7 linked regions of the Oryctolagus cuniculus genome follow. The protein of the gene in region 7 interacts with the protein of the main gene of each other region in a pairwise test. Links are inferred from orthologs where the notes say so. Each region holds a gene or a part of one and is shown on either strand. Other genes may lie near its edges. The genes, in order: PDLIM7, TRIM27, AHCYL1, KCTD9, TFIP11, LZTS2 and GEM.

The links.
Region 1: the proteins of GEM (region 7) and PDLIM7 interact in binary tests that used the Homo sapiens proteins (3 or more experiments, as listed by UniProt). The two-hybrid records come from large-scale screens. The link is inferred for Oryctolagus cuniculus from reciprocal best matches to the Homo sapiens genes GEM and PDLIM7.
Region 2: the proteins of GEM (region 7) and TRIM27 interact in binary tests that used the Homo sapiens proteins (3 or more experiments, as listed by UniProt). The two-hybrid records come from large-scale screens. The link is inferred for Oryctolagus cuniculus from reciprocal best matches to the Homo sapiens genes GEM and TRIM27.
Region 3: the proteins of GEM (region 7) and AHCYL1 interact in binary tests that used the Homo sapiens proteins (3 or more experiments, as listed by UniProt). The two-hybrid records come from large-scale screens. The link is inferred for Oryctolagus cuniculus from reciprocal best matches to the Homo sapiens genes GEM and AHCYL1.
Region 4: the proteins of GEM (region 7) and KCTD9 interact in binary tests that used the Homo sapiens proteins (3 or more experiments, as listed by UniProt). The two-hybrid records come from large-scale screens. The link is inferred for Oryctolagus cuniculus from reciprocal best matches to the Homo sapiens genes GEM and KCTD9.
Region 5: the proteins of GEM (region 7) and TFIP11 interact in binary tests that used the Homo sapiens proteins (3 or more experiments, as listed by UniProt). The two-hybrid records come from large-scale screens. The link is inferred for Oryctolagus cuniculus from reciprocal best matches to the Homo sapiens genes GEM and TFIP11.
Region 6: the proteins of GEM (region 7) and LZTS2 interact in binary tests that used the Homo sapiens proteins (3 or more experiments, as listed by UniProt). The two-hybrid records come from large-scale screens. The link is inferred for Oryctolagus cuniculus from reciprocal best matches to the Homo sapiens genes GEM and LZTS2.

Annotation. Positions count from the first base shown.
Region 1 is NC_091437.1:63,489,781-63,493,836, forward strand, and holds the start of PDLIM7 (PDZ and LIM domain protein 7), read right to left. Parts: upstream 2,801-4,056; 5' UTR 2,647-2,800; intron 2,105-2,646; exon of another isoform or gene 1,837-2,104; intron 1,748-1,836; 5' UTR 1,737-1,747; coding exon 1,641-1,736; intron 1-1,640. UniProt on the Homo sapiens protein: May function as a scaffold on which the coordinated assembly of proteins can occur. May play a role as an adapter that, via its PDZ domain, localizes LIM-binding proteins to actin filaments of both skeletal muscle and nonmuscle tissues.
Region 2 is NC_091436.1:154,135,823-154,139,995, forward strand, and holds the start of TRIM27 (zinc finger protein RFP), read right to left. Parts: upstream 2,801-4,173; 5' UTR 2,456-2,800; coding exon 2,036-2,455; intron 861-2,035; coding exon 765-860; intron 1-764. UniProt on the Homo sapiens protein: E3 ubiquitin-protein ligase that mediates ubiquitination of various substrates and thereby plays a role in diffent processes including proliferation, innate immunity, apoptosis, immune response or autophagy.
Region 3 is NC_091438.1:60,339,268-60,343,217, forward strand, and holds the start of AHCYL1 (S-adenosylhomocysteine hydrolase-like protein 1), read right to left. Parts: upstream 2,801-3,950; 5' UTR 2,534-2,800; coding exon 2,414-2,533; intron 1-2,413. UniProt on the Homo sapiens protein: Multifaceted cellular regulator which coordinates several essential cellular functions including regulation of epithelial HCO3(-) and fluid secretion, mRNA processing and DNA replication.
Region 4 is NC_091433.1:48,748,590-48,752,089, reverse strand, and holds part of KCTD9 (BTB/POZ domain-containing protein KCTD9), read right to left. Parts: intron 2,669-3,500; coding exon 2,572-2,668; intron 1,913-2,571; coding exon 1,854-1,912; intron 1,659-1,853; coding exon 1,530-1,658; intron 1-1,529. UniProt on the Homo sapiens protein: Substrate-specific adapter of a BCR (BTB-CUL3-RBX1) E3 ubiquitin-protein ligase complex, which mediates the ubiquitination of target proteins, leading to their degradation by the proteasome.
Region 5 is NC_091452.1:20,273,462-20,276,961, forward strand, and holds part of TFIP11 (tuftelin-interacting protein 11), read right to left. Parts: intron 2,357-3,500; coding exon 2,229-2,356; intron 1,007-2,228; coding exon 854-1,006; intron 1-853. UniProt on the Homo sapiens protein: Involved in pre-mRNA splicing, specifically in spliceosome disassembly during late-stage splicing events. Intron turnover seems to proceed through reactions in two lariat-intron associated complexes termed Intron Large (IL) and Intron Small (IS).
Region 6 is NC_091446.1:28,872,964-28,876,989, forward strand, and holds the start of LZTS2 (leucine zipper putative tumor suppressor 2), read right to left. Parts: upstream 2,801-4,026; 5' UTR 2,556-2,800; intron 2,418-2,555; exon of another isoform or gene 1,693-2,417; 5' UTR 1,623-1,692; coding exon 1,572-1,622; intron 1-1,571. UniProt on the Homo sapiens protein: Negative regulator of katanin-mediated microtubule severing and release from the centrosome. Required for central spindle formation and the completion of cytokinesis.
Region 7 is NC_091437.1:119,681,504-119,683,737, forward strand, and holds part of GEM (GTP-binding protein GEM), read right to left. Parts: intron 1,425-2,234; coding exon 1,220-1,424; intron 1-1,219. UniProt on the Homo sapiens protein: Could be a regulatory protein, possibly participating in receptor-mediated signal transduction at the plasma membrane. Has guanine nucleotide-binding activity but undetectable intrinsic GTPase activity.

The sequences.
Region 1 (4,056 bases), about 56 Mb from region 7:
AGGAGAGGGGGGCGTGAGTCAGCCCAAGGGCTCCACTGGGCAGCCCAACCCCTCCCCCCACCAGTCTCAGACGTTACCTCATCTCCCAGGCCTGGGCCCACAGCCAGCCCTCGCCCCTCCCGCCTCCCTTCATTCTGGGGTCAGGAGAAGAGGAGGGGGCTGGCCCAACGCTGAAAAAGACCACTTCCATCCACCCACCACCAGGGCCTGGGTCCAACTCCAAGGCTGGGCTTAGCTGCTGGTCCCACCCCTGGGCTGGGGCGGCAGACAGGGGAGCCTGGGCCCACAGTGCCCCCCGCAGGCCACATCTGAAAGATCACTCTCATCAGCAAAGAGGTGAGGCGGAGACCAGTCCGACCAAGTCTCCCAGCCACATGGGGTGGCATTTTCCCAGGGAGGGGGATGCAGGGTAGGTTTCAGGGTGGAGTGTGTGTGTGTGTGTGTGTGTGTGTGTGTGTGTTAGGGACCTGCCTGCCCCAAAACTCTGCAGAAAGATACCGGGGGGCAGAACACTGCCTGCCCCGGCCACCAGGCCAAACCGCCACGAACAGACTCTGCCCTGGGCCTCTCTCAGACTGCCTGGTGCCTGGACAACACTCAGGCCCCTCAGGCTGGGCTTGCCCTGGGCTTCCTGCCAACAGCTGTCTGCCCACCAGGCGGCTGGGTGGGCCTCCCTGCACTGGCGGATGTAGGGGCAGGAAGTCCCCGCCCCCTCCTGACCCCCAGGCCAGAGAGAGAGAGAGAGAGAGGGACTGGCCCAAGTGCTGGCCTCACTGCTCTGGGCGGGTGGTTTCTTTTCTGGGTCCCAGGAGTCACAGCCTGGCCACCAGGGGAGGGGGCTCGGAGGTCCAGGCACAGGCCAGCCCTTTTCAGCTAGGTAGACTCCAGCCACTGTTGGCCATCCCAGCCTGGGGCTGCATTCTTGGGCTTATAAGGCAATCCCCCTGCCATGGGGAGGAGCCAGCCACCAGCTCCGCCCCACCAGGGCAGGCTCTCAGGAATTTGGGTCCCAGCCCTACAGCCTAGCCTCACCACACCTTCGCTCAGGGTCAAAGGCCACTACATCCTAAACCAGGACCAGTTGGATGGAGACACAGGTCCTCTCATTGACTTGGGGACCTGTAAAACCCGCAGGCTGTCCTTGCCCAGTTTCAAATCTCTGCTTTGCCGTGGACAAGCCCTCCACCATTCCAAGTTCCCTCCTTTGGACAAACAGGATGGCAGCTGCTATCCCCTAGGTGGCAGTGAGGCGGTGGTAAGATTCCACAGGGTGCTCTGCCTGGGGCCAGGCTCCCGAGCACTGTTCTCAAGTTTAGATCCTTGCTGAATTCATCAAGCTCCCTCCCACACCAATGGGCCTTCTCCCTTCTGCTCGGCCCCCAGAGGTGACCGCAGAGGCTCGGTGAAGTGGCATCAGGTACAGTGCACAGATATGGGAGTCTGGGGGCTCCACTCCCCTGTCTACCTAGGCAGGGGTCCTGGGAGTAGGCAGCCACCACTTTTCTGGACCTGGACAGACACCTCCTGGCCTGCTGACACCTGGGCCTCCTGCTTAGATTCCCCCTGGAGACCTGAGCAATCAAAGACAACCTTCCCACCCCACCGCCGCTATTCGGAGCCCCTCTCCCAACCAGGCTTACCCGGGAGATGGAGAGGGGCACATTGAAGTCCTTGCCCCCTTGCAGCCGGAAGCCCCACGGTGCTGGACCCTCTAGCAGTACTTTGAAGGAGTCCATGGTGTCGGCTCCTGAGAGGAGAAATGGGAAAGTGAGCGTCCCAGCTGCGGACGCTAGCCTTGAACAGGTGCCAAGCAGGCAAGACAGACACTGAGCGCACCCCAGGCCCGGGTGGGCACGTATCTGGCCAGGCTAGGCTGTGAGGCTGGCTGGCAGACCTCACTTCCAAAAAAAAAAAAAAAAACAGACAAGGGCAGCCCCCCGCCCAGGGCCTGGGAGGGTGAACCTTTCCCAGGCTTAAAGTTCTCGGTATCCACGGGTGGGACTAATTTGGCACGGCTTCCCCCCAAGCCAGCCTGGAGCCTCGGGCAGCGGGGTGAGTCAGGGGCCGGCTCTCGGCTCCCCCGCCCCCAGGTCCCGGCAGGCAGGCCGCGGCTGCAGCCTGCTCGGACTATATAAGGCGTGTAAGCTGATACTGCGCGGAGAGCAGTGGAGGGAGCCACGGGGGCTCCGCGCGAGGGGGAGGGGTACGGGCGCGAGGCGCCTGGAGCGCGTCCTGGCCATTCCAGGGCAGGTCGAGGCTTTTGGGAGCCGGGGCGGGACCCCTTGGGCGCTCTGAGCGGTTGGGGGCAGGAGTGGGACGAGTCTCCAGCGGAGAGCAGTGGGGACCCCAAAACGTGGCCAGGAAGGGGAGCTACGCTGGTGCCTCCCGCACAGGACTGTGCCCGCCCTGCCGTGACTCAGTTTCCCTCCAGCCCCCAGCCCAGGCACCATGCAGCGGCGCAGGCGCCAACCGGCCCCGCCACAAGCGGGCTTCGCCGCAGGAAGGCGGGGGCGGGGGCGGAGGCAGGGGCCGAACCCGCAGGAGCAGGCCCAGCGCCGGCCAAGACCCCCAGTGCGCTCCGTAGTCTTCAGAAGGCCCCCGGCCCCCGCCTGGTTCGGACCAAGAGCCCCGCGCGTCCGCCGGTACCTGCTCTGCCCCGCCGGGGCGCTGCTCCGCGGCGGGCTCCTAGGAGCCGCGCTGGAATCGGATCGGCAGACCGCGTTCTGGCCCCGCCCCCGCGGACACCGCCCGCTTTGAGCCTGTGGAAGGGGGCGGAGTGGGAGACCACGCCCTCCGCGTGTCCACACCCACAGGCGGTCGCTCTGCCGGGGGAGAGCCCCACCCAAGCTTTCCGCCTTGTCCAATCACGAAGCCCCGTCTGGCTCTGAGCACACGGCGCTGCCCGCCCCTTCTCCTTGAGCGGGGCAGGGCCTGGGCGGGGCCTGGCTGCGGGACGCCGCGTCGGGAGGACTTTGCTCCGCCCACGCCTCGCCCCGCCCCCTGCGCCTCCCGCCAGCAGGGGAGAGAGACCTTCGAAGCCAGGCCCCACTGGACGTTAGCCGTGTCCTCGGGAAAATGGGGCGCTAGTGCTCCCCAATTGGGGTTGCCAGAGGGTCGGTATGGGGGCGTCGGGGTGAGGAAGGATGAGAGGGACGAGGAGTGACCGTGCAGCTGCATTTGCCGTGGACAACCTGAGTGGACGAAGCTGGAGGGCGTCCTCGGCTCGGCCTCGCGCCGGTCTCCGGAGCTCGGAGCCCGGCCCCACGCGCAGCGCATGCACCGTGGTGAGCGCCCGGCGCCCACGCTCCTCCGCTTTACAGACATTCTCTCCTGAACCCACGCCCCTCCGCGGCCCCCAGTCCTAGAGGGGCACGCACTGGTCGCTGCGGCCCCGGTTGTTCCTGGTGACCTGTAGCAGTCTCCTAATGGGCCCCTGCTTTCACCCTGGTCCCCTCCGGGGCCTTCTCCAAGGACCAGCTCAACTGATACTGTTAAAGGGAACTCACACTCAGCTTTTAGCATTCCAGTAGGCTCAAAACTAAGCCTTAAGACTCATGTAACTTGGGGGCCACGCTGTGGCATAGCAGATAAAGCCGATATGGGCGCTGGTTCCAGACCTGGCTGCTCCACTTCCGATCCAGCTCTCTGCTATGGCCTGGGAAAGCAGTAGACAATAGCCCAAGTCCTTGGGCCCCTGCACCCACATGGGAGACCCAGAAGAAGCTCCTGGCTCCTGGCTCCTGGCTTCGGGTCGGCCCAGCTCTGGCCGTTGCAGTCATCTGGGGAGTGGACCAGCAGATGGAAGACCTCTCTCTCTCTCTTTCTCTCTGCCTCTCCTTCTCTCTGTGTGTAACTCTGACTTTCAAATAAATAAAGAAGACTCATATAACCGTAGTAAACAGGGCCCATTGCTCGCTCACTCTGCTCTAGCCAGGTGGCCTCCTCACTGTTCCTCCATGTGCCAAGGATGTTCTGGCCTCAGGGCCTTTACACGGATCATTCTGGCTGCTTTCAGTTTGCTCAAGTCTCCGCTGAGATGCTGCCTGCTCTAAGGGG
Region 2 (4,173 bases), on a different chromosome or scaffold from region 7:
AGGGGAACTGTGGTCTCAGCAGATTGTGTGGGCAGAGCAAGTGGTGGAATCTAAGGACACCTTAGGAATGAGCTCCCTGCTTAGAAGGGACACAACTTAGAACTGACACAATTTCTCTCAAGATTCCAGACACTGCTAGTCTAGGAGTTTGCTTTTCAGATGCAAACACCTCTAATGGTTAGAGGTCTGTAACATTTTATCTATTCCACTCACATTGTAAACACTTAGGTGGTAAATATGTAAGTGTATATGATAAAACCCTCTGTACTTTTTGTTTTTCTAAAACAAAACTCCAAAATACCCATATCAGAATTAGCACATCAGGTTCCTGCCAAAGCCTTGGAAGACTGCTCAAAGAAAACAGAGCGAAAAACTCTGTTTAGAAAGGGGAATGAACACTCCAGAAAGTCAACCAGTGGGGCTGACACAAATCCATCACCAGCACCTGTGAGAAGGATAGTGCACCACAGGATGCCAGCTAACTATTCTCAAGAATTTCACCTATCTCAAGTCTGCCAAACATCAGTCCTGGCCCACAAGCAGCTAACAAGCTAAACTTTACTGATCCAGCAGGTATCTATGACTCCCAAGCACAGCTCCTCCACCCTCTCCCCAAAAGTAGGGGAGCCCCTTGGTTCTCCAGGTTAAGTTTCCACTGCCACATGGGGTTGTTTCACTTGCAACTGGAAGAACTGAGCAAGTTGGCTTGACAGAAGCACGGACCAGCAAAAGCGCTATTATCTGGGAATTCCAAAAGCCCTTACCAGGAGTTCAGCGCGTGCCTGCTCCCCCTGCGCCCGGCGCCTCTTTTTTAAGTCTTTCACCCTTTTTAGATGGTCCAGCTGGTTCTGGATTTGTTCCTGAAAAAAAAAAAAAAAAAAAAAGTTGGGCAGGCCATAGTATAACCATGGCTGTTTTGCTTCCCCACAGACAGAAACTACAATTCTGATGCCAGGTGCCTGGTGCGAGCCTGTGTTCAGACCACACTACCATCCACAGAAGACTCAAAGCACAGGGGCCACCACCTCTCTTCTATGGCAATGTGTGCATTTCTTAAATGAATCCTCTACCCAGTTTAGCATTAGGGTGACTGGACTAGGAGATTTAAAGTCAAGTTGTAGACCTTCCACAGAGGTCCACTGAGAAAATGAAGCAACTTCTCTAATTCTCCTCATGTGTGACGGGTAAATACCACTTTCCCAGCCTATTCCAGTTACAAGGAGAGCAGGTGAAATGATGCAGTTAAAAGCTCCATGTTAGGTGACTATGCAGAAATGCATTCACTTTTAAACACGGACAAAACTGTGGGTATAATCCTGTAGCCCTCAAACACATAGCAAACAGACAACATCAAGGACGCCTGGAATGTCTCCTTAAAACTCTTTTGCACGTGATACTTTGTTTCCGTGTTATTGTTTTGCTGCCGCAGTCGGTTCAACAGTTTGCAAAAGGCTTTGCACTTCTTATCCCCTTAATCATAATACCTGTTATCTCCCGTGTCTCAGGATGGCGAAATGCCTTACTCAAGCAGTGGAGAAATGTGTTCCTTTCCATGAGCTTCTAGAACAAGACGGTTTACAAGAAGTGCTTACAGACTAAGTGACGGGCATCTGCCGGATGACTCGGACACCGCGGTCACCGTCCGAGCGGGTTTCCTCTATAATTTGGGAGCAGAGTGTCTCAGGAGCCTATTGATGTGTACACAGCTTTATGCACATCTTGTAGGGTGTCGGGTTTGCGGGTGGGGGTGGGGGAAGGGCTCCAGGGAACGTCTTTATGTCCATAGCGTCCGAGATCTGGGAAACACAGGGATAGGAGTGGGGGTGGGGTGGGGCGACTTCTGGCTTCCCCAGCAGCTACAGGTTTTCCTCCAAATCCGAGTGCGGAGGCTCGGGAGCGGACAGAGAGGAAATGACGGCTGTGAACCACACGTCCGGCTCAGCCATTTTCTAGGCAAGGAAAAAAAGGGGAAGCCCCCGTGGCTCTCCCCTCCCTTTGTCCGCCTCGCTGCGCGCGCGCCGGGGGGGGCCCTCACCTTGAAGCCCTCCACCGCCTCCTCGAGCGGCAGCACGCTGTGGCCGCGGTGCTCGCGGGAGCGGTCGCACACCACACAGATGGGCATCTGGTCCTCCTCGCAGTACAGCTTCAGCGGCTCGCGGTGCTTCTCGCACACGCCCATCTCGCCGCCGGGCCCGGACGGCCTCTCGGTGCGCAGCTGCTTCACCAGCTGGGTCACGTTGGCCAGGTGCCGGTTGGGCCGCATGTGCCGCTGCGGAAAAGTCTCTCGGCACTGCGGGCACGACACGTTCGTCTCGGCCGAGCCCCAGCAGCGGGCGAGGCACGCGCAACAGATGTTGTGGCCACAGTCGAGCATCATGGGCTCGACGAAGTACTGCAGGCACACGGGGCAGGTGGTCTCCTGCTGCAGGCACTCGGCCACGCTCCCGGAGGCCATGGCGCGGGCTGGCGGGGGCGCACGGGCATGGGCCCCCGGCGCCGAGCTCTGCGCGGAGCCCGACTCTCCGGCGCTCTCTCCGGGTCGCTGCTCGAGCCGGGCGGGCGGAGGGCGGTGCCCCTCGGGCCCGGATTCCCTGGGAGGCTCCGGCGGCCGGGCAGCTCGCTGCCCTGTTGTACCCTTTGAACGAGGCCCGGAAGGCTGCCTCCCGACGGAGCCCCGCGGCTACGCGGGTAGGGGGGCCAGGCGCGCAGCGCCTCGGGCCGGATTCACAGGGGCAGGCGCGCCAGGCGCGCAGGACAACGTGGCTGCGTCCAAGCGGATCCCGCAGGCCGCGGAGACCCCGCCCCGGCGCGACCGGAAGAGGCGGGGCGGCGTGGGGCGGGGCTTGCGGTTCTTGGCCTCGGGGCCTAGCTGTTTCCTGCCGCGGAGGGCGGCTTGGCTGGGCGCGCGCCCCAGGGCGGGACGGGTCGGGACGGGACCTCCGAACCGGGCGCTGAGGACCCCTGGTCTTTTGTGAGGTTTTCTTTGGGCGCTCAGGCCTTAGCCCTTGCCAGAGAGGGCTGGCTTTGTGTAGGACTGGGAAGCGCAGGCCCTGAGGCTAGCGGATGGGGCTGCAAACTGAGCTGCATCCGGTACGTGACGCACTTTGTTAAGCAGAGCCATCATTTGCTGCCGCTCGCCGTTTTGTTTAGGGGGAAAAATGGGTGTATTTATCATTCTGAAACATTTCCGCAGGGAGAAAAACCGCGAGCCTAGTTCTGCTACTCCCTATCTCTGCTCATGCAAGGTGTTTTACCATTCTGAGCCTCAGAATCGGTATACCTCAGCAAGAAGGTAGACTTAATCGTTTAATTTTTGAGCCGTAAGGATGTTTATCCGTGAAAACCGCAAAATACCCACGGCGTAGGGTTGTTGTATTGAGCGGCACCTGAAAACCTCTTGTTCCTTTCTGAAGTTCAGAGTGCGAATCCCACAGTGCCCCGGGGTCTTGGAATCCCGGGCTGTCTGTTCTCTTATCACACAGTGGATTTCCCGTCATCCCTACTTGGTATTTGCTGGTTTCCTTGGGATTTTTCTCAGTGTGGTTTTGGGTCTCAGCAGTAGGGCCTCTGCTTCCGGAACTTCTGTTTGGAGGGATCCGAGAGGCGAAGTGGACATGCCAACCCCAAGCCCACGTCCTCTGAACCACACTCTGAGTACCCAGTCTGTGAAATTCCAGACCCCAGTAACCCTAGCCCACTTACAAAAAACGTAGAAATATTGGGCGGGGCCATACTGTTCGGAGAGTCCATTAGACCTAAGGTATTTATGCATATTTGTGCAGCTTCTCTCCTCTCTTATCTCTCTTCTCATCTGGCTGAAAAAATAATAGGAATGCCGCAAAGGTACAGTGCTTAAAGTAAGAATAAGCTGACAGATCGATGGGACAGAATGGAAATTGAGAAATAGACTAAAATGTTGGTAAGAATTTGGTATCATGTAGAGGAAAAATCAGATTGGCTCTAAAAGTTCAATAAATGATCCTGGAACAACCGGGAAGGTGTTGGGGGAGGGGAAGACTACTTTTTATTTTTACAGATTTATTTATTTATTTGAAAGCCAGAGTTCTTTCTCAAAGAGACAGGGACAGAGACAGATATTTCATCTGCTGCTTCGCTCTCCAAACAGGCGCAACAGCAAGGGCTGGGCCAGGCTGAAGCCAGGAGCCAAGAGCT
Region 3 (3,950 bases), on a different chromosome or scaffold from region 7:
GTTCATTCTAGTCCTTGGCAAACAAAGTTAGTAAAAGCTGACCACCAAAGACCGGATCGGACCCGACTGCGGACCGTGAAGGTCACCCTGGAGCAGCCTACTTCCTCTGGCACCAAGAACCGCCTCAACTCCAGAGGGATCTCAGCGCTCAGCAGGATCCAAGGACTTCTTGGTTGAGAGCCAGGCCGGAACCCTCACTGGTGAAAGACTGCAGCACGGGAACCGGCCTGTTTCTCACTGGTTCAGTTTGTTCCTCGTGCTTTTCCCACACTTTCACGTTATCAACGCATGGCGGAGGCACAAAGTGACTTCAGTCAGAATGGCCTATTCAGCTGAAGTTCTGAGAAACAGATTACGCTGGACTCCCAATGCGACCTTGACTGGTCTTCAACTGAGCCATTAACTAAATAAATGCTTTTCATTAGTCACCATAAAGCACTGTCATCCGAAGGCTGCGCAATTGCTAAACAATACAGCTCAGAAAGGATGAGATAAACAAGGAACACGGTGGGGGGCCACGTTCATGTTCATCAGCAAACAGAAAGTTGGGACAGGGTCTTTCCCCTCATTCCCAGCAGAGACTGCTTCTATTAGCTAATAGAATGGGAGACTCTACCATCATCAGCATTTGGCCTGACGTTAAGACACATGAACAATATCCTGGGAAGGAGAGAGGAAGGCGGTATTTATTCCTGATAGGCAGCCACACAGACATCTCAGTTACCAGTTAGCTAGGTGGGCAATAAATATTTGAGTACCTTCTATGTGCTAGGTACAGAGTGAGGCACGACTGACAGAACGGTGAGCGGGAATCCCTGACTGCATGGGAGTTTAGGATCCCAGTACAGACTTCTGTCTCAGCAACAGTGGCACCTGCAAGAACACAGGCAAATACCTGACACTCTGAAGCAGCTAGACAAAAGAGGAGGAGCCGGGGCAGAGGAAGAGCCCAGGGAACTGAGGTACCAGGGCCTTCCATCCTGCCATCCAGGGCTGCAACCGGTTCTTCACAACACAGAGAAGATGACAGATGGTCACTGCCCCAACAAAGCAGCCGGTTCAACTGACAGCCCTAAACACGAAGGGTCCTCACACTGACCATCAGGGGCCACGATCTCTCCAAGGCCTTGTGGATAAAAACCGGAATTCTGTGAGAAAACAGAACTGAAGCACACAGCAATGACTTGTCTTTTCTACCTTGCGTTTCAAGTCTGCAGCTGCACACTGGTTCCCTTAAGAAAAAAACGAGAGAGCCATCTCTCCCACTTAAGACAGCTTAAGTGGTTCAAGTGCGAGGGGCCCGCCAACTCTAACTGTTCCTGCAAACCCTGCTCCGTGCAGCTTGTAGAGGCGTGCATCGCGTTAAACACCGCAGGAAGAGGCAGCCTCCAATCACTCTGTCTTCGCACAAGGAGGAACTACTTCTGCCGGTTCTCTCCGGCTTCAGAAAGGTCACCTCTGGTCTGCTGTTAACTGCGTGCCAGGTATGTGCAAAGTCAAGACGTGGTTGGCAGTAAATGATTAGAAAGCACTTGGGATCCCAATCCTACTGTGCAGAGAGCCAGTTAGCCTAAAGCCTCCAAAGGTTACCGTGTACAAGAGAACCAGAGGGTGTCCTCTGAGCTCAACCCACAGCGCGAAAGACTCAACTCGTTCTGCTTCGGGAAGGGCGGCAGAGAATGAGCAACCGTTCTTTAGCACCCACCCCTCCAACCCACCCAAGCTCCGTCTCCAGGCATGCCTAACTGATTCACACACGCGACTCCAGGAGCAACCTGCATTCGTGCCACCGTCTGCCGTCACCAACCTCCACACGTCAGCGTGCCACGGACGTGCAAGCAAATGAAGACCGCAGGTGCAAATCCCAGTTGCTTATCAAGCGCACGCTGCGGTCACCTGCATAACGGAGCGAGCTCCACGCACTCTCTCCTCTTGCGGCTCAGAGACACGCAGTCGTGTGGGACACATCGGCCGCTGCTCCCAAGGTTTGCTCGCAGCAGCTCTGCCAATTGACCCACCCACCCGAGAGAAGGATTTCTGCACATCCTCAACCCCCGGGCTGGTCTCAGGGATCGGCCAAGTTGGCTCGCCCCCCTCCCACTCTCAGCTCCGAGGCCCTTCAGCCAGAAATCGGCCGCCAATTGAAGGCCCGGCTCCGACGGGTTTCCAAAGGGTCCCAGAGGACTAGGGCCGAGGGACAAAGGAAAGCCAGGTCAGGGTTGGTCTTCTCAGCCCGGCACAGGCCCGAGGCGGCTCCTCGACGACCGCCTACGCCACCTCCGGGGTCCCCGATCGTCCCCGACCCTAGTCCTTCAAGCTCCAACCAGCCGTCCCCCGCCCCGGCTCCTGCTGGCTCGCGCCCCTCCGCAAGGCCGGAGCCCAGACCCGCGCCGCCACCCAGAGCCCCCCGCACCTTCTTGGGCGCCTTGGTGACGGTGGCCATGAACGAGTACTTCTCGGCGTCCTCGATCTCCTTGGCCTGCTTCAGCTCCTCCCCGACCCCGGGCAGCGGCATCGCGTCAGGCATAGACATCCCCCGGCCGGCCAGGCCTGCGGCCGTCCCGCCGCCCCCGCCTCCTGCGCTCACGCCCGCCCGCGCGCGCGGCGCCCTCCGACACGCGCTCGCCCACCCTCCCGCCGGGCCCCGCGCCGAGCCGCGCCGGCTTGTCAGGTGCTGTGGCCGGCGCCTCCCCGGCTCAGCAGCCCGCAAAGCAGCAGGGCGACGGCGGCCCCAGCAGCAGCGGCAGAAGCACCAGCGCGGAGCTCCGACCTGCCCGCGCCGCCACCTCCGCCACACGCAAACACGCACGCAAAGTAAGGGTAGAGGGCGGCGACGCCACGTCAAGTACTGGCAGCTCGGGGGACGGGGAAGAGGCGGGAAGAAACGTCATTCTTCCTTGACGTCACCACGCTGGGCTGGGCCTCAGGGGACGCCCTCCTTCTTTCCCACTGGCGGGTAGGCGCTCCCAGGGAGAGCCGAACACTTTGCGCCGGCAGGTGGCACCATCAGCCCTGTGAGTAGCGCGCCTTTCCCGCGAGGGTGCCGCGCCGCCGAGGGTCTCCGTGTTGCGGGATTCCGGGCGAGGCCTCAGAGGGGCGTAAGAGCGATGCTTGGGAGCCTGGGATACATCCAAGGCCAGAGAGGGCCCGCTGACACCCATGCCCTGTCTACTAGGCTCTTTGGACCCGAAACGCCTTCCCACGGGGTTAGCGTTCGCCTCTTTGACCTCACGGTGCGGGGGGGGGGGGAGGGGGGCAGCGCGGAATCGGAGCGGTCTGGTGTGTCCACACAGCCCTTTGTGACTTCTTTCACCACCGTCTCCTCCTGGGCCCTGCCTGTTTACAAGACCTTCAGCCCGCAGAGCTGCCGCGGAGCAGTCTCTGGGACAGGGCCCATGGGTCAGTTTGGCCAGCAGGAGGTGGAGGGAGGGGCACCCAGCGGGCATCCAGGGCGTTCTGGGGTTGCTCATGCCCTGGCCTGGGCCCTACTGTGTGCAGTCCCCTTGCCAAGGCGAAGGTGCACGTGACACATGCATGTTTTGCAAGGTTTAGTTCCGCTGGAAAGGCGAATCCTGTCTGTGGGCTATGGTCAGCTGAGGCTGCTTGTCCTTTAAGATGGTAATGACATTGGCTGTGATTCCCGTGTCCTGTGGAAAGTCCAGTGCCCTCCCCCAGGACTTCTGTGAATTGCTGGGGGTACTTGGGTTCTCATGGTTACCCCCTGGCTCCGGTTTTCTGCTGGTTCTAGAATTTTAGTCACTCTTCTGGTCTTGTGACTGCTTCTTTAGCTCCTTCTGTCCATTCAGCCCCTGCTTCCCTCCACCCCCAACCCTAGTCCAAAGCAACCATGAAAATAAGGCTGTGACATGGAGCAGAGCTTTTAATGGAGGTTTGTGGGTCACAGGGGACAGCTTACATCATACAGCAAACAATTTAAAATCCCATGTCTG
Region 4 (3,500 bases), on a different chromosome or scaffold from region 7:
GACCCAGCTTCTGGATAATGCTCATCCTGGGAGATATCAGGTGATGGTTCAAGTACTTGGGTCCCTGCTACCTCCATGAAAGACTGGGATTGAGTTTTAGGCTCCTAGAACTCCTATTGGGGGCATTATGGGTGTGAACCACTAGATGGAAGATTTCTTTCTGCTTCTGTTTCTCTCTCTGCCTTTTAAATAAATAAGTAAATAAAATTTTTAAAAATAAAGAAAAAATAATTTGGTTAGGAAAAGTTATAGAGCTGCCTGAAAAGGTCAAATAATATCATTTATTTCAATCAAACATTTAAAAAAGAATCCACAGTTTAATATTCGAACATGTAAAGGTTGACTGGGTATTTTAATTTCATTACAGAAACTGTAAGCTAGCAGTCAGCTGATTCTGATGTACTCAACATGTGCAACAAAAACATGCAACAGTATTTTGAAAATCAGAAAACTTTATATAGATAACCAGCTTTTATTTTAAAATCAACACTCTGGCACTCTAAGTCTACATTTTCATGTGCCAACAAGTTGCAGAGGCTGAGTAGGCATATTACCTAAAGACTGCCACATTCTCCACCCTACTGCAAGTACTAACATAAGACCAAGTCCAGACCCTTGGAGGCCTGTAAGTTTTAATATGCAACTACTGTTTTATAAGGGCTTTTGCCTACGTCTTTCCATAAGTCCTCATAAAAGTCTGTGACATAGGCAGAGAAGACAGAATTTTTATTTATTTATTTATTTTTTAAGGATTCATGTATTTGAAAGGCATAGTGACAAAGAAAGAACTTCTATACGCTGGTTCACTCCCCAAATGATCACATTAGCCAGGTCTGGGCTGGGCAGAAAAGCCCAAAACTCCATCCTGGCCTTCTACATGGGTGGCAGGGACCCAAGTCCTTGCCCAAAATGCCTTCCCAAATGCATTAGCAGAGAGCTGGATTGGAAACAGAATAGCCAGGACTTGAACTGGCACTCCAATGTGGGGTGCTGGGTCTCAAGCAGTGGTTTAACCAACTGCACCACAATACTGGTCCGCAGAAAATTTTTAACACTAATTTTTCAAAAAAGACTTAGAAACAATTTCACCAAGTCAATATTCTAGTAAGTTGTAGAACCCAGACTCTAATTCCAAAGTTTGGCTTTCTCTCTTGACTGCTATGCTTCTGAACATAATAGAAAGGCCCATAACTGGAAGTTACCCCATATTCACAATTCAAGTCTTAAAAAAAATTCTAAAGCCCCTTGTGATAAAATCTAAAATTAAAACTTGTGAGTTAGATATATACTCACACAAATACATGCATAGATAGATACTATACACACACACACATATATATATATTCTCTAAAGACAATATATACTTGTGCTAATATCTTTCTAAACCTGTATATACTCATATATATGTGAAAAAGTTAATTTTAAAAATGGAAAGGATATACTTTCACTCTGTGAAAATAAACATTTCTAAGTGAAGATAAAATAAAAACCTTAAACTTATAAAAATGTGAATTATATTGAAAACTCACCCAATAAATTAATACCATCATTTACAATGAGCTGCCCATGACGCAAGTAGTTCAAAATAGGTTCAAAGTACTCAGGACTTCGGTCAATTAAGAAAGCTCCTCTATGATCTTGCTTATTTCCCCAGACACCTGTGTTTCCATTATAATGAAGAAAGCCCCCCACAAACAAAAAATATAGTTAGAAATTTATAGAAGATAAATTATATGACATACCAACAAGTTTTACTCTTGTAAAGATTATTGATATCACTGAAAAGTACAAAAGGTCATGAATACGGGTACAAACAGACCACATAAAATGTGAAAACAGTGACTTACACTCACCTTTATCCTTGAACATGTGGGCCAGCATACTGTCAGGTTCTTTATTCACTAAAGTGCTCCTAAGAATTCAGGGAAAAAAATTGATTTCTCCATTTGTCTTTATAAACAAACACATTTAACTCAAGAGCATACTCGAATTCAGCTGCTCTCTCAACAAGATGCATGCTATCACCTGGTAGGAGTGATGCTAGGAAACAAAAACGTGCAGTAAGAGGCCATTTATCAAGATCCTTTCCAATCTGGTACTTCCTTTGACTTAAATATTATTTTAGTTTCTTTTATTTTAACTACTAATCTGTTCTTCTAGTATGCTAGTACATCACAATATTCTAGATTGTCTAAACTTACTTTTTAAAATTTCTTTAATGTGAACAGTTGTAATTTCTACAAATTTCAGGATTCTTAGTTTTTATTTACATTGCGTGTGTATATATACATATATATTATTCACTATCTGAAAAGCATGTTCTGAAACATAAAATTCAGGTCTTCATGCTTTCTCAGGAATGATCTGTAAACTAGGTCCTATTCTTTTCTTCAAAAAACTTTCTAAAAATGGCTTCAGATAACATGTTACACTTAAGCTGCATCTGAGTATCTTTTAAAGAAATCAGCAAATTGCAAGACAGAACAAATGGACACGCACAGTACTCCTTTTACTGACTCTGTAAGACACACACACACTCTTTCTCACACACACACACATACATGCACCTACCGTGTAGTTGTAAAGTACCGCCCTCCAACATTTAATGTTAGCCAGTCTGTGTGGGATCCTAACCATCCTTCAGCTGGTTTACAATCGGTCTGAGGATCTAGAGACAACATGTAGAAAATAGTAAACACATTAAGATTTGGAATTCTGCAAAGATGGCAATGGCATCATTGTTGAAACTAAATTCGCACATCAAAGTGTACCAGAGCTACTGGAGAGCAAAAACTCAAATCCATAGTATTCCCACCAATACTGACAGCTTTAAGAACAGCACACTATCAGTGTTTGTGAAGGAAAAAGCATAGAAACAATAGAGTATGTGATGAATCTGAGAACTCAAAAGCAATCCATACATACTAACTTCACAGTTCAACATGTCTATTTGAGAACAGCAGGCTGAAAGTGGAAGGTACATGCCTATATCCAAAATGGATGATGTAACTAGTTTAAATAAGATCTAAAGGAGATGGAAATGAATTTTCAAAACCAACCACAAAACTCCTTTCAAAAGACAAAGTTCCATTCTGATGACAAGATGCTAGGAAAAGAATATAAGTTGAATAGAATAAAGTCCAAAGAGTCCAGATGAAAGAAGGTTTACGAGGCCAAAATATAACATAAAGTAAGTCCTATATTTTTAAATACTTCACAGAAAACAAAAAATATCCCCAAATAAATCTTTCCTTCTCAAGCCAAGGAAAATTAATTTCATGTACAACTGAAAAACAGGAAGGCACTGAGGTCAAGTCACATATAAAAGGTTTTACAGCATAAGAAATACTAAGAAGAATTATATCCCTAGAAACAATGAAAATCTTCTTAGAAACAAATACAAAATAGATACCTATAATTTAGAATCCTAAAATATGCTAAAAAAGTAAATAATGCAAAATATGAAAGACCAGTATAAATCAGAATTATAAAATTCAGAA
Region 5 (3,500 bases), on a different chromosome or scaffold from region 7:
GTTCAACTGCTACCTGGGACACCCTCATCTCCTAGAGTGTCTGAGTTCAAGTCCAGGTTCTGATTCTAATTCTAGCTTCCAGCTAATGCACACCCTGGGGAAGCACTGGGTGTGACGGGGGCGTGACCTGGGTCACCACCTCTGTGTGTTGGGGGTGTGACCTGGGTCACCACCGCTTTATGTGATGGGGGCATGACGTGGGTGACCACCACTGTGTGTTGGGGGCATGACCTGGGTCACCACCACTGTGTGTTGGGGGCGTGACCTGGGTCACCACCGCTGTATGTGATGGGGGCATGACGTGGGTGACCACCACTGTGTGTGATGGGGCCGTGACCAAGGTCACCACCACTGTGTGTGAGGGGGCCGTGACCAAGGTCACCACCACTGTGTGTGATGGGGCCGTGACCAAGGTCACCACCACTGTGACGGGGGCGTGACCTGGGTCACCTCTACTATGTGTGACGGGGGCGTGACCTGGGTCACCCCACTGTGTGTGATGGGAGTGTGACCAAGGTCACCACCACTGTGTGTGATGGGAGTGTGACCAAGGTCACCACCACTGTGTATGACGAGGATGTGACCTGGGTCACCACTGCTGTGATGGGGATGTGACCAAGGTCATCACCCCTTGCCGTGAGGAACAACTGACGGAGTGTAACTGGATGATCATACTAAACCTAGAGTAACGAGAGCAGCGTGGCACTGTCATGGGCCACAGTAGGAGCGCTGCCCTCTCCACGCACGAGGCCCTGAAGCCCCCAGGAAGCTCAGGGATAGGCAGTGAGGGGCGGCCTCTGGGCTGTGGGACTGCTTTCTGTGGTTCCTGAACCCGATGTCCGGAGCCCCGTACCTTGACCTGCGAAATCTCCTTCTGGGGAGCACTGAGTTTCTTGCTGACCCTGCCCTTGGCCTTCAGCTCTTCCACCGTCTTATAGGAGTATTTGGGCTTCTTCTTGCTTCCGCTGGGGTCTTTCCTCCACTGGCTCAGCTCCTTCTGAAACTCCTAAACCCCAGGGAAACCACTGGTCACACAGGAAACAGCACTTCCCACAGCCTGTGGGACGAAGACCACTGACACCACAGGGCAGCCTCTCACGTTCACCCCAACTCCACACCAAGGCTGTGACGCTGCAGCCACCCAGCCTCTTACAGACAATGAGGCTCGGAAGGCGGGGCAGCAGCCCCGTGCTGCTGGGAGATCCAGAGATAAGGCCACCCCGCTGGGCATCACTGTGGGCAGGCTCTGCTGGTGTGAAACTGAGCGCGTGCGAAACTCAGAAATGCAACAGGAAGGACTTCAGGAGTACCCCAAGCCTCGGTTCTGATTAAAATGATAAACAAGTCTCAAGGTGAGGATCCACTTGACACTCGGGTGTATAAAACCCCTCTGCAGGGAGATCTGAAGAGAAGTGAGGAAGCAAGCCGGCCTGAGGATGGCACGGCGCAGCCCTCAGAAGTTGACGGTGTGGCTGTCCCTCCACTTTTCTCACACTGGTTTACACACATAATTTATTTTCTCAGACACTATCTGGACGTCTGCTGGCTTTGGGGGAATCAGATCAGGCAATCCCAAGCTCGTGTTGTCATGGCAACAAGTGCCTAGCGCCGAACACGAACAGCGGCTTTCCACAAGTTACGTCCTCAGCTGTGTGCCCGAGTCCCCACCACCCCCTACAGCCTGGCACCTGGCTCGTGGCGTGCACGCCCGTCAGCTCTGAAGCCTGAGAGCCCGACTCAGACCTGTCACTTCCACACTGTCCAGCGTGTCCTTGCTCACGAGGAGGCTGGTGACGACACGAGCGAGGCGCTCCCCTGCGGCGCCTGCCTTCCCGCTCTCTGTGGAGAGCCGCCCCACCCCTTCTGTCAGCAGCACAGCTGCCAGCAGGTGGCTCCTCCTGCACTCTGGGTGAAACCCAAACGCCTCCAACCCCCGCCCCACCCCTCCCTGAGCCACATCTCAGTGGGACTCCTTCCTTCCTGAGATCAGAGATCACTTCCGTCCCAGCCTGTGCCTTACACTTGGGCCACGCCCCTTCCCTGCCCCTCCTGTCACCTCCTCGTCTCCAGCACAGCCTGCATCCCTAAGCACGTGGAGCTGCTGGCTTACTGTGTGTCTCCATCCAACGGGCTCGAAGCCCAGCCCGGACAGCACGAGGCCTGACAGAACGCAGGAGCAGTCGGCCGCCCGCCACGGCACAGGACACCGAGGCCTGCCTTCCACTCACCTCCTCGGCTTCTTCTTCCGAGTCCACCACGGGGAAGTCCTGCAGGGACTGCGTGGTCCGCTCCGAGCCGTAGGCCCCCACGGCTCCCTTGCCCTTCCTCTGTTTGGCTTCGATGGGGTTTATGATGCCTGTCGATTGTCAGAAGACAGAGAGCTCAGACGGCAGCAATTCATGTGAATAAACCACTCGGGGATGTCAAGCAGCCTTGCCCTCAACAGGCAGCACGGTCCCCAGCAAGGAGAGCCCTGCCCTGCCCAGGCCCAGGCCATTGGAAACGTCCAGCACTTATGTGATCACACAACAGCCTGCTGACCTCACGTAACTCATGTCCCAACCAGAGGCTTGCACCGTGGATGGGAGAAAGCACAAATCACTTATCACAGAGAGCGCCGGCACACTCGATTCCCCGCTTCACTCCTCTGGAAGCTTCCATCAGGCAAAGTGCAGGGATTCAGACAACATGTACCCACGGACTCTGAAGTACAGGTGCACTTCATGGAGATGTGGCGTTTATTTATGTGAAAGACAGAGAATGACACATCTTCCATCCACTGGCTTCCTCCCCAGTTGGCTGCGACGGCTAAGACAGGGCCAGGCCAAGGCCAGGAGCCTGAAACTCCACCTGGGTCTCGCACGTGGATGGCAGCAGGGGCCCAGGGACTTGGGTCACCTTTTGCAGCTTTCCCAGGCACATTGGCAGAGAGCTGGGCTGGAAGTGGAGCAGCCAGGACACGTGGGATGCCAGTGTTGCAAGCAGAGGCTTACCCCTGCCCCACAACGGCAGCCCAAGATGCGGCACAAGACGCCGCCCCTGCTGCACTTCTTAGCTGATGTCCCCACACTGAGCTTTTCAGAAACACACTGAAGCCCCAGAAATACTCGTGCAGGTTGTTTCTCTCATAAAAGGATTTAGACAGGATTACAACTTTTCAAAAACTGCTCCCCTCCCTGCTTCCCACCTAGCGCTGGGGAAGTCTCACTCTTCCTCCCGGTCACCAGCCCTGCCTCACTCATGCTCGTGTTCTCAACACAACACAGATTTACGCCAACTACTAAAAAGAGACTGGAATTGGAACCACAGGCTTCACTCTTAATTACACCCTCGGTCACTGCCCGGGGAAAAGTTCTTGCAGGAAGAATCCAACTGCTTACTAGGGTGGTTGTGCAACCCAGGAAATGCGAACGTGCGACAGGGGCTGCGTCACAGTGGGGTGGGCTGTGCACCTGTGCTACAGACTATGTCGCAGTGGGGTGGGCTGCGCACCTGTGCTA
Region 6 (4,026 bases), on a different chromosome or scaffold from region 7:
AGCTCTCTGCTGTGGCCTGGGAGTGCAGTGGAGGATGGCCCAAGTGCTTGGGCCCTGCACCCCATGGGAGACCAGGAGAAGCACCTGGCTCCTGCCTTCGGATAGGCGCAGTGCGCCGGCCGTGGTGGCCATTGGAGGGTAAACCAACGGCAAGGGAAGACCTTTCTCTCTGTCTCTCTCTCACTGTCCACTCTGCCTGTCAAAACAAAACAAAACAAAAAGAATCCCAGCATCCTATACCCTCTCCCTATACAAGGCCTTGAGTCCCTGTGCTGTCCCCTGATCCAGGCCAAACGCCTTCCTGACATGAGTAACAACGCCCTGACCCCCCCCCCCCCCCAAGGCTCCTCTTCCAAGTACTGGCACGAATCTCATTTCTCTCTGGGCCCCAGACCACTGCTCCCTGGTCTGCACAGGGCCACCAGGCAGAGATGAAGGGATCGGAAGCCTGCACAGGGCCACCTGGCAGTGGAGGCCCAGACCCAGACCTGCAGCCCCACGGAGACCAGGACTCAGGTTAGGCAAGAAGCCCTCTCTCCCAGCACCTGGCCCAGGTCCCCAGTCTCCTGGGACAGGTGGCCTCGTTACAGGGCAGTTTGGGCAGCGACAACCTCAAGGACACCACCAGCAACTCAGACAATAATTAGGGAACAAAGAGCCAAGGCCAAGCAGCGCCCCACCTCCCCCTATTGGGCCTCAGTTTCTCCCAGACAGAGAGGCGGCAAGGGTGGAGCTGGCCAAACAGGCAGTCCACAGCTCTCAGGGCACACACACCTGCCTCCTGGAGGTGATGCAGGCACTTGCTTGTTTCTATGACAACCCCTACCCTCTCCATACCCAGTCAGGGTGTGACATGGGGCCTAAAGGAGCCTTCATGGGCGCTGCCCGACTCCAACCTCTATCAGAAGCTTCCAGCTTCCGCCATCTCCAGAGAAACCCCGATGGAGGCGGAAGCCCCACCATCACTTCTGGCAGCTGCTCCAAGACCTCACCACCTCCCCGGGCTCTGCTCCTTCCTGGAAGGGGAGAGCAAGCCTCCCTGGGGAACTCCCTCCGGTCCCGAGGCCGCAGAGCACCAGGGCTCTGGCATCTGCCGAAATCATCATGCAGAACGTGCAGGCCAAGGAGGCGGACAGAAAACTTCCTGGGAGTAGGAATGTGTGCGTGTACAGGTCTTCATGGCCGCCTTTATGCCCAGGGGCAGCAGAGTGAGCACTGCGTGCCAGGAATAATGCGTGTGAAAACATGAGTGTGTGTTTGGACATGTTCAATACATACACCCGTCTAGGTGTGAACTAACGTGTGAACCTCACACGTATGCGTGTGTAATTAAGGGTCACCATGCAAGTACGCAGGAGTAGTAAATGCACAGGTAACAGGTGAGTGTGCTGAGATGCTGAAGAGGAACCCAGGACATGGGTTCCCCCCCGCGAACTCCTGTGTGTGCACAGCAGGCCGGCCAGAGCCGGGTTACCCACAGAGAAGGCTCTGAGGGCAGGCATGTCGGGCACCGGGGAGTGCGAGGGAACCCGCCAGTTTTCACTCTGGAGTGTGGGGAGAGGGGGAACCACCTTTGTCCGAGCTGTTCCCCTTCTTTCTTGCTTGTGTTCCATCGAGTTCATCCCTTTCCTCTCTACCCAAGTGAAAAGACACCAAGAACCAGGTCGGTGTCAGTCCAGACTGCCGGAGGAGCTGCTGGGAGCAATGGTGGGCCTGGCTGCAGGGCTGGGGCCTGACAGCACCCCAAGCTCCAGCCCTGGGCAACGCGGGCACCCGGGAGCCTCCTCCTCCCTCTGCAGGGCCACGTAAGGCACGGACAGGACGGGGGAAGGGGCTGCTAAGGGGGCCATGCGGGCTGGCATTTCTGTCCGCATTTCTCCTCTTCAGGGAGCACAGAGAAAAGTGAAAACTGAAGGAAGGCGATGGGCCCACTCGGAGAAAGAGCCAAAGGCCGAGACAAAGGCTCAGGGAGGCGCGGGGGTCAGGCGGCCAAGGAAGCCAGGCAGGCCGGCCCATGGCGCCAGGCCCCGGAACCGCAAGAGGCCAAGGCCCCCCAGACCCAGAGCGACGAAAGCCGGCCAGCCAGGCCCAGCCAGTAGGACTCCCGCTCTCAGAGCCCGACTGAGAAGGAGGGGCAAGCCGAGGCTCCATTTTGAGAAATGCGCCGTGGCTGTGGGCAAAGGGAACCCCTCGCTCTCCCGAGTAATCGCCGCGGTGGGCAGGACGGAGGGCTGAGGGCTGGGGCTCAGCCAGGGCCAGCGACGGCTCTGGCCGCGCTCCGAGCTCGCGCAGACCTGTTTTGGGGGCTGAGGAGTTCGGGAAAGTCGCCCTCCCACCTCAACTCCAAGAACAGTCACGCAGGCTCAAGTCTGGGATCCGAGTTCCCATTCCGAGGCAGGAAGCCGGGACCCCTCCCCCCGCCCACCCCCACTCAGCCGACGACCCCCCCCCCCCACCAGCACGGCGGCCGCCGAACGCCGCCTCCCCTCCCGACGCCGCCGCACAGAAGTTGGGGGCGACCCCGGGTCTCCTCCCGGCCCCGGCCTCCCCCTCACCTCCGCCGCGCTGCTCCATGCTCAGCCCCGGGCCGCCCCAAGCGCTCCACAGGCGCGCCGCCCGGCTCCGGCCCGCGCGCGGCCACTCGGAGCGGCCCGACCCGGCCGGGCCCCGCCTCCGCCTCGGCGGCGCACCCGGCCCGGGCCAGTCCCCTCCCGGCCCGAGTGGGCGGCGCGGCGCGGGGCGGCGCGGGGGAGGGGTCCGAGGGGCGTCCCCGCCCCGGGGCGCGGACACGCGCAGGCACCCCACGTCACGCGTGTCTGCTGGGGCGCACGCAGGGGCTGCGCGGCGGCGAGCGGGACCCCTCCCGCCGAGTCTCGGTGACTGCGTGTCGGACGGCTCGGTCGGCTGTGGATTCGGCGGGCGGGTCACCCCCTACCAGAGCCGGGCCCCGGGGCCAGCGGCAGCTGGTCATTGTTCGAGCACAAAGGGCCAAGGCGCGGCGCGGCGGCCCCTCCCCCTCGCTTCTCTAATCGAAGCCCGCCCCAGACACTCTCCAGCTTCAGAGTCCAGAGCGGGAAGCCGAGGGTCAGCTGCCCGCCGCTCCTCGGCTGCCGGGGCCCTGCGCCCCAGCACTAGTCGGGGGCCGCGGCCAGGTCCCTGCCTGGCCCACCCCACAGCGGGCTGGAGGCGGTACACGAGGATCTGCGGAGGCGGCGCCACCTGGCGGTCGGTTCTCAGAGCACATCTACTCGCCCCCCGACCCAGGGGGGTCTTCTCCCACTCCACAGCCCGTGCCCGTGGACGCCAGCCCAGGCCTGCCCTTGGCGCGGCTCTGGACTCCCCAACTTTCCCTTGGAGTCGCTGGCTAAGAGAAGGGTCATTGCCCGGGGAAGGGCGGCTTCTGGCCTCCCCAGTGGAAAGGCACAGCCCAAGCCTACACCAGCTTCCCACCAGACAACATTCCACGGTCTCCTCAGGGTCACGCATATGCTCACCCTCTTGGAAACAACATCTTAACACCCACACGACCTTTCCCACATTCAGTCTCGGGCAGCCGCAATCGCAGAGCTTCATCCGTCACGTGGTCCCCCAGGCCTCCTTCCATGCACTCCCAGGCCAGCTCCCGCGCAGCCCCGCGTCACACCGGTTGTGCATTAAGTCTTTCACAACAACTCGCAGGCCCTCGCACCTCCCAGCATCTTTCACATGCTGACAGCCTCGCAGTACTCACAAACAGCTTCTCATACTGCACACCGTGTTTTGCATGCACTCTATCACACAGACCTTTCCTTAGGGGTCTCTGTGACCTGGCCAGGTCAGCTGATGCCCGCTGGCCTTGGCGAGGACGGCCTCCCTCGCCCAGACGGCAGCCCTCCCCCGCAGGGCCAAGGCCAGCCAGAGCTGGGCTCTGCCCCAGGAAGGAGCATCCCCCCCTTCCAGGCCACAGCCCTGGCCGGCGCTCAGCTCTATTTTTAGCTCGATGGGTTGTTTTTCTTTCTTTTTCCCTGGAAAGGGAAACATAGCCCA
Region 7 (2,234 bases):
ATTAAACCAATAAAAGTACAGCCTTAATGTACTGCAGACCTACCATGTGCTAAGAACTACACTAAGCTACTTCTAAACATTTTCAGTGCTCACAAAGGTCTTGGAAAATATATTAGTAATCTATTACCTAGATGAAAAAGATGAGAAGAGTCTTTTAAAAACTGAGGGAGTTCATATAGCCTGGAAGTGAGCCCAGGGCTGCTTCATTCTCAAGCCCGTGTTCCTAAATCTTTCTTCTGACTTGAAAATAAGGATGCTGAATATCAGAATGCTCCACTATGTGGCTTTCCTCTCTTTATAAAAAAGAAAAACAGTAGGGATGGGATATTTTGAAAAAGATTTGAGGGTTTTGCAAACATGTAAAACACAGCAAACTATCCTAGCTTCTCTGGAAGCATCTCTACTTCAAATGTTTCACGGTTTTCAATGACCCCCTACTGCAGTTCAGCCTTGGAAGACAATGCTTACTGTTGACAGTCACATCCTTGCAGTAAGACCTTGCCAAACTAGCTTAGGGCATTCTCCTTATGAGGCTTCTTTTCTCCTCTACAGGGCCCGGCAATGCAGTACTTTAATTTTACAATCATGGCAAAGACCAAATCTGCATTAGGCCAATAAAGTCCCAGTGGCCCTAAAAGCACTCGAGTCTGTACACAGCACATATGAATCAGCCCTGAACTAAGTGTGAACAAGTGTGCTTGACACCACCAGACTGTGCCTTAACTGGAAGCAGGGAACAGGGAGGAGAAGGGTGTTCCCAGGTTTAGAGGAACCAGAGTCAACCAGAATAAATGATTGCTTCCAGTGACTCTTTCTCCCAGCTCCCCTAAGTCAGAGTTCACTATCCTTCCTGTATGAGGACACTTCTTTCACTTCCCTGAATGCTTGGGATCTCCCTGGAGAATACAAAGGACAAAGAGAAAAGGTCAAGGACTGCCAGTATTTGCTGAGCATGAACTCTTCCCTAAAGGAATTCCAGGAAACCTCTTGGAGCTGGGGAGAGGAGAATCCTGCAGGTAGACCAGATGGCCAATAGAACAGCACCCAGCATGGGAATGAACTGCTGGGGCTATAGGAGTTAGTGGTACACCTAAAACTGTGTAGGACTGTTTTGAGTCCTTGTCCCCAGCCTCATGAGAGAGAGGAGGAAGGGCACCTGTCGGCAGGCAGAAGCACACCACCCAGGATGTTTCCGCAGTCCTGGCACCACCCCTCATACCTGATACAGACACTTCCCGGCACCGCACTAAATCACTTTTATTGCCAACCAAAATGATCGGAATGTCCTCTGTCTGCCGGGCTCTGCGGAGCTGGATTCGCAGCTCAGATGCCTTCTCAAAGCTTGCTCGGTCTGTGATGGAGTAGACAATAAGGTAGGCGTCCCCGACTTGCATGCAGTGGTCTTGCAGCCATTCGTTCTCCCCCTAACGAAATGACAAGATCTGCCGTGAGCTCATGCTGGCCTGGGAAAAGAGGTGTCAGTTTGCAGAGAGGCAGTATTTGTATCCTAAAGTGCCCATGCTGGTAAGAGAAGGAAACTACTTTCAACTCCCCAAAGTACATTGCTCGCCCAGGTCAACCAGATGCCCGGGGGCTGTAACCATGGCTGGTAGTACAGTATTTGTGTCAGAAGTTTTTACTTTCTGATTTCTTCTACAGCTTGAGTTGATAAATTAAACAAATACCCTGCCAAACAAAATTTCCATCTTCTATCTAAACTTCCAAAAAGGAGCCTTTTCTGACTACTCAAAAACATTTTGCTTTTCCCAAGTAACAAAATTAAGAATCATTTAAGGAGAATAGGTGGATTTTCTTTTTTTATAGAAAGCTTTTATTTAATAAATATAAATTTCATAAGTACAAGTTTTGGATTATAGCAGTTCTTCCCACCCCAAAACCATCCCACCTCCTGCTCCTCTCTCATCCTATTCTTCATTAAGATTCATTTTTAATTAGCTATATATACAGAAGATCAACTCTATACTAAGTAAAGATTTCAACAGTTTGCACCCACACAGATACACAAAGTAGAAAGTACTGTTTGAAGACTACTTTTTAGGTGGGTTTTCATTAAACAAAAGGTATAACTTACATGCTCAGAAGCCCAAAATCTTTAAAAAGCAAACATCAAAAACTAGCATTGAGAATAACAACTTCACCTAAGATGGTCTTATATAATTGAAAATAACTGTTCACAGGGCCGGTGTTGTGGCATAGCAGATAAAGCTGTTGCC